3 linked regions of the Caenorhabditis elegans genome follow. The protein of the gene in region 3 purifies or fractionates together with the protein of the main gene of each other region. This does not show direct contact. Each region holds a gene or a part of one and is shown on either strand. Other genes may lie near its edges. The genes, in order: pcca-1, mccc-1 and sir-2.3.

The links.
Region 1: the proteins of sir-2.3 (region 3) and pcca-1 purify together in Caenorhabditis elegans (affinity purification with western blotting, with the first as the bait; one study listed by BioGRID). This does not show direct contact.
Region 2: the proteins of sir-2.3 (region 3) and mccc-1 purify together in Caenorhabditis elegans (affinity purification with western blotting, with the first as the bait; one study listed by BioGRID). This does not show direct contact.

The regions. Positions count from the first base shown.
Region 1 is NC_003284.9:7,659,188-7,662,940, reverse strand, and holds the start of pcca-1 (Propionyl-CoA carboxylase alpha chain, mitochondrial), read left to right. Parts: upstream 1-1,954; 5' UTR 1,955-1,962; coding exon 1,963-2,039; intron 2,040-2,091; coding exon 2,092-2,186; intron 2,187-2,236; coding exon 2,237-2,436; intron 2,437-3,177; coding exon 3,178-3,753. Other genes in the region: dhs-29 (NADP-retinol dehydrogenase), read left to right, coding at 367-535, 628-800, 843-945. UniProt on the Caenorhabditis elegans protein: This is one of the 2 subunits of the biotin-dependent propionyl-CoA carboxylase (PCC), a mitochondrial enzyme involved in the catabolism of odd chain fatty acids, branched-chain amino acids isoleucine, threonine, methionine, and valine and other metabolites.
Region 2 is NC_003282.8:9,883,048-9,886,800, reverse strand, and holds the start of mccc-1 (Methylcrotonoyl-CoA carboxylase subunit alpha, mitochondrial), read right to left. Parts: upstream 2,232-3,753; coding exon 2,040-2,231; intron 1,992-2,039; coding exon 1,679-1,991; intron 1,632-1,678; coding exon 1,344-1,631; intron 1,294-1,343; coding exon 1,123-1,293; intron 1,072-1,122; coding exon 824-1,071; intron 779-823; coding exon 451-778; intron 405-450; coding exon 220-404; intron 172-219; coding exon 28-171; intron 1-27. Other genes in the region: prp-18 (Pre-mRNA-splicing factor 18), read left to right, coding at 2,520-2,687, 2,829-2,973, 3,018-3,142, 3,189-3,303, 3,350-3,463, 3,513-3,630.
Region 3 is NC_003284.9:13,329,993-13,333,745, forward strand, and holds the start of sir-2.3 (NAD-dependent protein deacylase sir-2.3), read left to right. Parts: upstream 1-2,021; 5' UTR 2,022-2,023; coding exon 2,024-2,150; intron 2,151-2,202; coding exon 2,203-2,305; intron 2,306-2,499; coding exon 2,500-2,640; intron 2,641-2,684; coding exon 2,685-2,765; intron 2,766-2,978; coding exon 2,979-3,093; intron 3,094-3,144; coding exon 3,145-3,327; intron 3,328-3,583; coding exon 3,584-3,697; 3' UTR 3,698-3,753. Other genes in the region: NAD-dependent protein deacylase sir-2.2, read left to right, coding at 1-32, 492-606, 653-835, 997-1,110. UniProt on the Caenorhabditis elegans protein: NAD-dependent protein deacylase. Catalyzes the NAD-dependent hydrolysis of acyl groups from lysine residues. Plays a role in oxidative stress resistance.

The sequences.
Region 1 (3,753 bases), 5.7 Mb from region 3:
CAATATTCATGTGCTACTTATTAAAATGGCGAAAAATTAAAAATCAATGCCCTGTTTTCGCGTCTTATTATTATTTTTTTGAGAACTGTACAACTTTTCGTATTCGCAAAAAGAGCTGCCCGAATTGTTTTTCTGTCTGCGTCTAGTTTGTCTTTACACGCTCTATTATTGAGGTCACCATTGGTGTCCTTATTGATTCAGATAGTATCTCCTCTATTACACGAAGACACCCCTTCTTCTATCGTTTGAGAGAATCAAAAAAAAAAGAAACCAACTATTCATCTCCACTTACTTTTTGATTCTCGTACACTATGTAGAATATAGCCAACTAATGATAACATGATAAAATCTAATTTTTTATTTCAGTTTCTGCTCTCTTCAAGTGTGCCGGTCGCTTCGTAATTATTTGGGTGTTAAGTATTCCGCTTCAGATCCATCATTTTGCAAACTGACACTTATTGAAATGTCGGACTATTACAAAACTCCACAACTCTTCTGGTGGCTCCTCATTGTTCCAGCTCTGGCTATCAACTACGTAAGTTTTAAGGTTTCAAGTGAAAAAAAACTATGTTTGATAAAAATAGATATTTCAAAGCTTCCACTTCGATCTATATCTTTGATTTTTAGATTTCTTACGCCCATCCAGCAGCAGCACTTAATATTCCATTAATTGGATCTCTCGTCCATAAGATTGGAACTGAGTATCCATTTGTTGCTCTTTTAACCAACCTTTTCGCCCTTGTAGCACACGCCGGTGAAGCTCTTTACGCTCTTTATCTCTGCCATAAAGCCAATATCAGGTGAACTTTTTCAGTTGATTTTATAACAAATTGTATTTTCAGTTTTGCTTCTACCGCAAAATGGGTTGTCCAAACGTTTATTCTTGGTTTCCCGTCACTCTCTATTCTCAGTCGATACGAAGCCAAGCAGAGGAAGAATAATTGACTAGTAGTTGAAAATGTGTCTGATAGTTCCTAAAATGTATTAATTTTGTTTTTTTTTGCCAATGCAATGAACGACCATTTATTATCAAATAAAATGAAGAAACTCAACGAAACATTCTCAAATAAACAACATGTCGAGAGAAAGGCCAGTGTGTGCAAAGACGCAGAGAAGATCACTGCAAACGCGCTCCGTTGAGGTTGCTGTGTGAGATATCTTGGACAACCCCGCGCATTATTGGACTGTTTTTTGTTGTTTTATTGATCATGTAGTGGTCAATGAGCAGGTCATTCTTGCCTTCGCTGTTGCCAGAGAAGGTCGGCTTTTTTCTTCCCTGTTTTTGGTGATTTTGCCGTTTTTTTTTGTGTATTGAGTGTACTTACTGTGTGAGTCTTTAGATTTTCCGTTTCACGCATACACGTTTTTTGTAAAATTATTAGTTTTTGTAGGACTCTCGGTTCAAAAATTATAGAAAACGTGCAGACTGGACTATGAATTATATTCGAAGTTCTTCATTGTAACATTGTGAGGTCGTCTTTCCAACTCTCAACCTATCCCGGTGATTTTCTCGGTTTCTCTGCGTGTGTGTGTTCAGAGGACGAATACGTGCAAAATCGCAAGAAATGGGCAAAGAGAGAGAGCGGGGCAACTGCGCTTTGGGTCCATCAGAAAAGAGAGATAGACAACTTTTGTGAAAATCTTGTTGCGGGACAAGGGCACCGCACTTCTTGCTTTTCTCTTTTCTGGCCAGGCTATTTACTTCGTTGCTCAGTTGCCATTTCTGCATGTTTTTCTTATTTTTTCTACTAGTCGAAGTTTTCCTTCATAATCAATATAAAGAGAGTTTTCAAGGCATCGCTGTTTATCACTTAACTGACCAAATCAAATCGGTCGTCCTTATCTTTCTCCATCGAAGTTATACACGAAACTGTTTTTCTCCATCATCTTACTTTTTTCTTTTGTGAACTGCTGATGTCGTTGTTCATTTTATCATGAAAATCATTGTTTTTAGGTTGAACCATGCTCCGTGCTGCATCCAGTATCCGCGCTGTGGCCAATCGTGGATTGGCAACTGCTGCTGTTGCCAGACCAGGAGTGTAAGTTTCTGAAAGTTGTATTCGGTTTTGAGATCAATAGGTTCAATTTCAGACCACTTGATGAACGTGAGGGAAAGGAGATTTACACTACTGTAGGAATCGATTACAATGAGCCAAAGTTCGACAAGATTTTGATTGCCAATAGAGGTAATCTCAAGCATCTAAAAGAATCTTAGATTTAATCGTCTATTTTACAGGAGAGATTGCGTGTCGCGTGATCAAAACTGCCAGAGCTATGGGAATCAAGACAGTGGCCGTTCACTCAGATGTCGACAGCAACTCGCTTCACGTAAAGATGGCCGATGAGGCTGTATGTGTTGGAGAAGCTCCAACTGCCAAATCCTACCTACGTGCTGACCGCATCTTGCAAGCTGTCGAGGACACCGGTGCTCAAGCGGTAAGAATTCTAACGTGTCTATGTAATGGAAGGATAAACCGCAAAAATCAAATATCAGAGGAGAATGTAAATTCTGTGGCATGAATCTACATGCACAGTAGCACAAACATATTACCCAGACATCCGACAGAGAATAGAGTTTTTGCAAAAGTTCAGAACACCGCTCCAAATCAACTACTACTGTTCAAGAAGTCAGAGCGTTCGCGCTTAACTTCAAACGGAGAGAATAGCTTAAAAAAGTTGCTGACTGAAAAAATGTGAAATAAAACATTCCCTACATTTTGATAATGCTCAATTTTTTCATGCTCATATCACCTGGCTGAGATATGAGGGTTTGAAGTGATGAAGCTCTAGAGTTCCCTCTTATGGCCTGTTGAAAACTGTGGTGAGGTCAAATTATGAAAAGCACGAATTACCGCATTTTTCAGAGGACAAGCTAGGGTCAAACAGTTTGACAACCCGAGCGAGAGCTTTTGGCTGTGTAGCAGCTTAAGATTTACCGTAATATATTAGAAACCAGTTACTTGTAATATGCACGTGATATTCACCTACTTTCACTACGAAACACAACAAAACAAAAATTCTGTGACAAGTGACCAAGTGGTCTCTTTCCAGTCTCTAGCATCTCGCGTGTTTCATTTTCAAATAGTCAAAGTCAAATGACGAGAGATAGATTGCAAGTGTCTTCTGTTATGTTTTTCAAACAGAACTGCTAAAAACGTTGAAAACATATATTTGCAGGTTCATCCAGGATATGGATTCCTTTCCGAGAACACCAAGTTTGCCGCCGAGCTTGAGAAGGCTGGAGCCAAGTTCATCGGACCAAACTCTAAGGCTATTCTTGATATGGGAGACAAGATTCATTCAAAGAAAATCGCTACCGCAGCCCGTGTCAGCATGATTCCAGGATATGACGGAGAAATTGCTGATGAGGATATGTGCGTGAAAGTCTCCCGCGACATTGGATACCCAGTCATGATCAAGGCTTCTGCCGGTGGTGGTGGAAAAGGAATGCGAGTTGCCTGGAACGACAAGCAAGCTCGTGAAGGATACCGTTTGTCCAAGCAAGAAGCAGCTTCTTCTTTCGGAGATGATCGAATGCTCGTTGAGAAGTTCATTGACAACCCACGGCACATTGAGATGCAGGTGCTCTGCGACAAGCATGGAAACGCTTTGTGGCTCAACGAGCGTGAATGCTCCATTCAGAGAAGAAACCAGAAGGTTATCGAAGAGGCTCCAAGCAGCTTTGTGCCACCAGAGATGAGACGCAAAATGGGAGAACAGGCCGTTCAGCTCGCCAAGGCTGTCGGTTATGAC
Region 2 (3,753 bases), on a different chromosome or scaffold from region 3:
AATTTTTCGGCATGTACTTGTACATACCTGCTCTCCAGGCTTCACAAGAATTTTTTCAATAATTCCTGGCATTGGTGCGACGGCAGAATGACTGGCTGCTCCTCCGGATAACGAATCAAATGTTTCATGGATTTGTGGAGTTTCATATTCGTTTTGACCAACTCCATTCACCTTAAAGTTAACTTTTCAAAACTATGATTTGTTGAGACACAAACTTACCATCAAACTATTTCCTAGATTTTTAACGACAGTACTCCAGCGCCTGCCATTAGCTTCCAATGTAAACTTGAAAGATCCGTCTGTGGTTGATTCAATGTCGTTGAGAAGTGTTTCATAACTGTTGCCATCATAAGACACTGTCAGGCGACTATCAGAATCAAATCTAATGCTGACATCTTTTCCGTCTGAATTTAAGCTATTTATTTTTCTTTATCAAACTAAACGCGTTACCTATTTTGAAAATGTATTTTGGTGACAAATTCATTCTAAAGAAAGATAAATTCTGGAAGACACCTGCATCTGATTTTTGAAGGGCAGCCAAAGCATGTGCTACAGCCGACTCAACGTAAATTTCAGCAGGAGTTTCAGATTCAGCAAATAGTTCCTTCTGGTGATCAGGGATAAAATCGGTATAAACATTTCCTGCGGCAAATTCAGGATGAGCAAGAACTCTGCGGACAAAGTCAATGTTTGTGGGTAGCCCTGAGATTCTTGTACGAGCCAAAGCACTTTCCAATTTTGCAGCAGCAACAGCACGATCCTGGCCCCACACTACCACCTAGAAAAGGAGATGATTGTTTAGAAGCTGTTCTGAAATACTTACCTTAGCAATCATAGGATCGTAATGGATTGATACTTCGTCTCCAGAAACAACTCCTGTATCGATTCTAGCATCTTCCGGGAAGTCAACATAATTAAGACGTCCCGCAGTTGGCATGAATGCTCCTTTACGAGTATCCTCGGCATACACACGACATTCAAATGCATGACCGTTTAATGGAATTTCTGATTGTTTCAGTGGAAGCTTCTCTCCTTGAGCTACCCGTAATTGCCATTCAACAAGATCCGTGCCTGAAATCAAATTATTTGATAATTTCCAATCTCCCATTATAAAATCTATACCTGTGATAGCTTCACTGACGGGATGTTCGACTTGAAGCCGAGTGTTCATTTCCATAAAGTAGAATTCGCCACGCGGGTCCATGATGAACTCGACGGTACCTGCTCCAACATATCCCACAGCCGCCGCAGCACGAACAGCTGATTCTCCGAGTTTTACACGAGTATCATGTTCTGCAAAAACATTAAATCTCATTTAAAACTTTTTCACGAGACTGACTTACCCATATTTGGCGCTGGTGCTTCTTCAATAATTTTCTGATGACGTCTTTGAACGGAGCAATCTCTTTCCCATAAATGAACATAGTTTCCATGGTGATCTCCGAAAACTTGTACTTCAACGTGTCTCGGCTTCTCGACAAACTTTTCCACGAGCATTTCATCGTTTCCAAACGACTTCTTAGCTTCGTTACGAGCTGAAGCCAGTTTTTCTTCGAATTCAGCCTCGTTCCACGCAATTCTCATTCCTTTTCCACCTCCACCATAGACAGCCTTCAGCATAACCGGGTAGCCTGAAATTTTAAATAAATTTATGTGGGGCTATACTTTAAAAAATTACCGATTTCTGCTGATTTCTTTTTCAAATTAGCATCTGATTGATCTTCTCCGTGGAATCCTTTTACTACAGGAACTTTAGCATCTTCCATGATTTGCTTCGATACATTCTTGGCTCCCATATCCCTGATAGCTTGGGCTGGTGGTCCAATAAAAACAAGGCCGGCCTGAGCACATTTTTCAGCGAATCCAGCATTTTCAGATAGGAAACCGTATCCTGGGTGAATAGCTTGTGCTCCAGATCGCAATGCACTGTTGATAATTTTGTCCATATTCAGATAACTTTCCGCTGCAAGAGGAGGGCCGATGTGGTATGCCTGACATTAAATTCAGTTTAACACTTCACGAATACTATGGATTCTTACCTTGTCAGCTTTTTTAACAAAGAGGGAATTACGGTCTGCGTCAGAAAAAACAGCAACTGTCTCAATTCCCATTTTACGAGCGGTATTTTGGACGCGAATGGCGATTTCTCCACGATTTGCAACTAAAACCCGTTGAATGGGACGAATTAGAGGGGCAGTTGAGGCACATCGTTTTTGGAATACACCAAGCATCTGAAAATAAAAACATATTGGGAAGATGTCTCAATTAAAAAGATATCAAGAAAAAGAGCAGAAAGCGGATGTGGAGCATGTTTCAGCAATAAAATAAACTTTTCTCAATCGAGCGTGTTTGCATTGCGCTGTCTGCGTCTCTCATTTTCTGTCTCTCTATTTTCTTCATTTTCGAATAAAAATCTTAAATTGACGATTTTCATCCGGTTTCCATTTTTTCCTTTATTCCGTTAGTTTCTTTTTTTACTTTATTTTAAATCAATGCTTCTATTATTATTTCTTCAGATAATGGATTTCAAAGCAAAACTACTTGCTGAAATGGCAAAAAAACGAAAAGCCGTGTCTGGAATGGAAGTAAAAGAAGGAAACGCAAAGTTTGTCAAAGGCGCTGATTTAGAAATGAAAAGAAATCAGGAATACGAAAGAAAACAGCAGGAAATAGCTAGTAAGAAACGAGTAAGTTTTCTTTTAAAAACTTCGTTGTAGGAATTTGTCTTATAAAATTTTCTGACACTAATAAAGAAGGATTAGGTATTGCTGAATAATATTTGCAATTAAATTATCATATAGTAAATCATTATAAAAGACATCATTTAGAAAGTTGACGACGAGATACTTCAAGAATCATCCAGTCGAACTAAACCCGCGCCCGTGGAAAACGAATCAGAGATTGATGAAAAAACACCAATGTCGGAAATTCAAACACGTCTTCGCCAGCGAAATCACCCAATTATGCTTTTCGGTTTGGCATTTTCCAAAATCGTATTTAAAAAAATTAATTTTCAGGTGAAACTGATATTGATGTGCGTAAACGCCTTCATCAGTTAGAACTTGCTCAACCTGATCTCAATGAAGGATGGGAAAATGAATTACAAACAGCAATGAAAGTTATCGGAAAAGAAATGGATAAGGTTAAAAATAACATTAATTCAAATTTCATGAAATGAAATATTGCAGGCAGTGGTTGAAGGTACAGCTGATAGTGCAACACGACATGATATTGCTCTTCCACAAGGATATGAAGAAGATAATTGGAAAAATATCGAACATAATTCAACTCTTTTGAGCGTCGGTATGAGATTTGAAATAATTTCTCGAAACTATATTACTTTTTATAGATGACGATTTGAAACGAGATTGTGATATTATTCTTTCAATTTGCCGTTATATACTCGCAAGATGGGCTAAGGATCTGAACGATAGGCCACTGGATGTAAAAAAGACAGCACAAGGTACAATAAATTAAAAAAAAAGTGTATTAAATGTTTATATTTTCAATAGGTATGCATGAAGCAGCCCATCACAAGCAAACAATGATGCATCTTAAAAGTTTAATGACTTCAATGGAAAGATACAACTGTAATAATGATATTCGGCATCATTTGGCCAAGATTTGTAGGTTAGTAGGTTATTTTTTGATTCAACATTATAATTTTCATCGAAATTCACTTAAAAAATAAACTAATTTTATTCAAAATGCGAAAATTATCTTGTAATTGGAAATTTCCGGGGTTTTCAAATG
Region 3 (3,753 bases):
AAATGTACAACATGTGATTACATTGAATCAAGGTACATTGGACTGAATCAACTCAATTATGGAAAAAAAAAAACAATTTCTCAATGAGGAATTGTTTGATAAAAGCTAAAACAAATGATGATTTACTAAAATTGAACAATCACATGTAGCGTAGAAAAAAGGATTGTTATACATATTTGGATTTAAAAAAAACGAAAAGATAACATTTTAACTAAAATGTTGAAACTTCCTCTAAAATGTATCGGTGAACTTCCTTATAACATATTTTAATTAACGTACATTCTTCCTAATTGATAATGTTTGATCATTGTAACTTCATTGACTTTTCGATTTCACTCCACTTCCTGAATGTGTGGAATGGCAGACAATCTAAGAGAGTATGGACGCCTCTTAATGTATCTAATAGGCCACTTCACATTTCGGTTTGTGAACGTAAAAATAACCGTTTATTTTATAAGGGATCTCATAAAATTAAAACGTTTCAACTTCAGACAAACGTACCAAGACCGACTTGATTACGCAAATCCTGGGTTTAAAGAAGAACACGTGGCTCCAGGAGAGCTGGCGCCAGATGGTGACATTATTCTACCGTTGGGAACTGAGAAAGTAAGTGTTTTACGGTGGAATAAGTCGAAAAATACAGTGTTTTCAGGGTTTCCAAATTCCCGAGTGCCCAAGTTGTGGGGGACTTATGAAGACAGATGTCACGTTTTTTGGAGAGAACGTTAACATGGACAAAGTCAATTTTTGTTACGAGAAAGTGAATGAATGTGATGGGATTTTATCACTTGGCACGTCGTTGGCGGTGTTATCTGGATTTCGGTTTATCCATCATGTAAGGCTAATGGGATTTACTGGATGACTTTTTTGGTTATCTAAAAACAAAAACGTTTTGATGTTTCCGTGGGTAGCACAAAAATTAACTATTTAAAAAAATTTCAAACAACTTTTTTAGATTGTTAAGAGTCCTTCAAAAATAAAAATGTAAACTTTCAGGCTAACATGAAGAAGAAACCAATTTTCATAGTCAATATAGGACCTACAAGAGCTGATCACATGGCGACGATGAAGTTAGATTATAAAATCTCTGACGTTTTAAAAGAAATGTAGACTAAGACGTGTAGTTTTGGAATTTGATAATATTGTGTTGACGACAGTTTTTTGGGTACTTTCCGTTTGTATTTTGAAACTTTTTTTTATTGTTTGAATAGAATGGCAATTTGTTTCATGTTAATTGGAATAAACAATTTTTGATGAATATGATTGTGAAAATGCGTTATTTTCAGAAAAAAAATCATCTACTCCTGCAAAAAAAGTAACAAAATTGGCAAAACAAAATCCTGGAATTAGGAGATAGACTCAAATATTTTACCAAACAGCTTTTCTATATTATGAGAATATAATCACTTTTTGTTCATCAAGGATAACTTGCTTAGTTCTTTTTTAAAGTTTATGATTCTTCTTTAGTAGTAGTTTTTTTTTTTAAATCAAGATTCCCAATGGGATGATCATTTTAAACATCGCACCATATTGCTTTGATGACATGATTTAAACTATTTCAACACCTTCGTAAGGTTAGATTTTTATTATCAATTTTGTCAAATATTTTATTTCCTCATTAAACAATTATTTTTAAAACCTTGCTATCAAAAAAATTGTGGACTTTGTTCTGTACCTAGATAATCTTCCAGCTGTTGGTTGGTCTCCCATTATTCTTTCATTTTCGGCGGACCCGCACTCTCTGCCGGCGTTTTCCTTGGCAATACAGGAAGAGGTTACTGGATTTCTCTACTCTACTCTCTCGCCTGTGCAAATAGAGCGCGATTCATCCAAAGATATATTTTTAAGGGTTTTTTGAATGAACGTGATTCAACACAATTAGCTGTAAGATCCGGACTCGAAACTCTTGTGAATAATTTTTCAATAACGTTTATGAATAAAATTAAAAAAAAAACTGTTCTTATTGTTCTTCATTATTTTCACTTGTTTTGACAATCAATTCATCTTCGACAGTATTTTAGGAATGGCACGAAAGTATGTACCACATACGACAGAGCTTTGTGAAAACTCCCTAAAAAAGTTTAAGTCACTGGTAGGGACTGTGGATAAGCTTCTCATCATCACTGGAGCAGGAATTTCTACAGAATCAGGTTTTTTTTCAGGTACAGGTACAATCAGGTACAATATAGTTTTCATTTTCAGGAATACCAGATTATCGATCGAAAGATGTCGGATTGTACACAAAGACTGCACTTGAACCAATTTATTTCCAGGATTTTATGAAATCAAAGAAATGTAGGCAGAGGTGAGAGTACTTTTGAAATTTGTTGGGCCTTACTCTTGCAATTGTGATATTTCAATTTATAAAAACTTTGTGCCAAAGACTTTGAAAAAAGGCTCATAACTGCTCTCACGTATTAATATCATTACAATTTTATAGGTTTTATGATTCAGTAACACATTTTCTTTTTGGCATGCTTAATTATCTTTTGTCTTCAGATACTGGTCTCGTAGCTACTTGAATTGGCCAAGATTTGCTCAAGCTTTACCTAACTTCAATCATTACGCCTTATCAAAATGGGAAGCTGCTAACAAATTTCATTGGTTGATCACACAAAATGTGGATGGACTTCACTTAAAGTAAGTGAAGTTAACAAAATGAAAATATTAAAATAAAAGTTAAGAGCGGGCTCGAAAATGATAACGGAACTTCATGGCAACGCTCTTCAAGTAAAATGCACATCATGTGAATACATCGAGACAAGGTAAGGAATGAAGAAAAATTGGTACTAACTGTTTTGAAATTTGAAATTTAGAACTTTATACTTGGAACAATTTTGAACCAAAACAGGTTTGTACTTGAATGGAATTGAGATAAAAATAGAATGAATGTTAGTTGTTTCAAAATTATTAATAACAAGCAGTTACATATATCTATTTTTGACATTGCTCGCGTAAATCATCTTTTATAATTTCAGACAAACGTATCAAGACCGCCTGAATTATGCAAATCCTGGCTTCAAAGAGCAGTTTGTATCTCCTGGACAGCAAGAGCTAGATGCTGACACTGCCTTGCCGTTGGGTAGCGAACAAGTAAGTTTTTTTTTCAACAATTAGAAACAATTGCATAAAAAAGTTTTACAGGGGTTCAAGATTCCCGAGTGTTTAAATTGTGGGGGACTTATGAAGACAGATGTAACGTTGTTTGGGGAGAACCTAAACACTGACAAAATTAAAGTTTGTGGCAAGAAGGTGAATGAATGCAATGGAGTTTTAACACTTGGGACATCGTTGGAAGTGCTTTCCGGATATCAGATTGTCAATCATGTGAGAAAACAATTTTTTTAAAAATCAGAGCGACTATGTTTTTTAATTGCTGTCAAATACAACAGTCAAAAAAACCGACTTACTTAATCATACCACATTCGACATTTTTGGCAAAATTTCGCTTCGTGTACTAGAAATTCTGAGAAAATATAAAAATCGCTCCTATTGGCTTTTTTTTGAAAACTTTTGGCTACACACTGTTTATACATTCCTAAAATAAAATTACTTGTCTCACTCGTCAAAAATTAATTTTCAGGCCCATATGCAAAACAAACCAATTTTCATCGTGAACATTGGACCTACTAGAGCTGATCAGATGGCAACAATGAAGTTAGACTACAGAATTTCGGATGTTTTGAAAGAAATGTAAAGCAAGATGTGTGGTTTTTTAATTTTTAAGTTCTCATGTTCTCATGTTCTCATGAT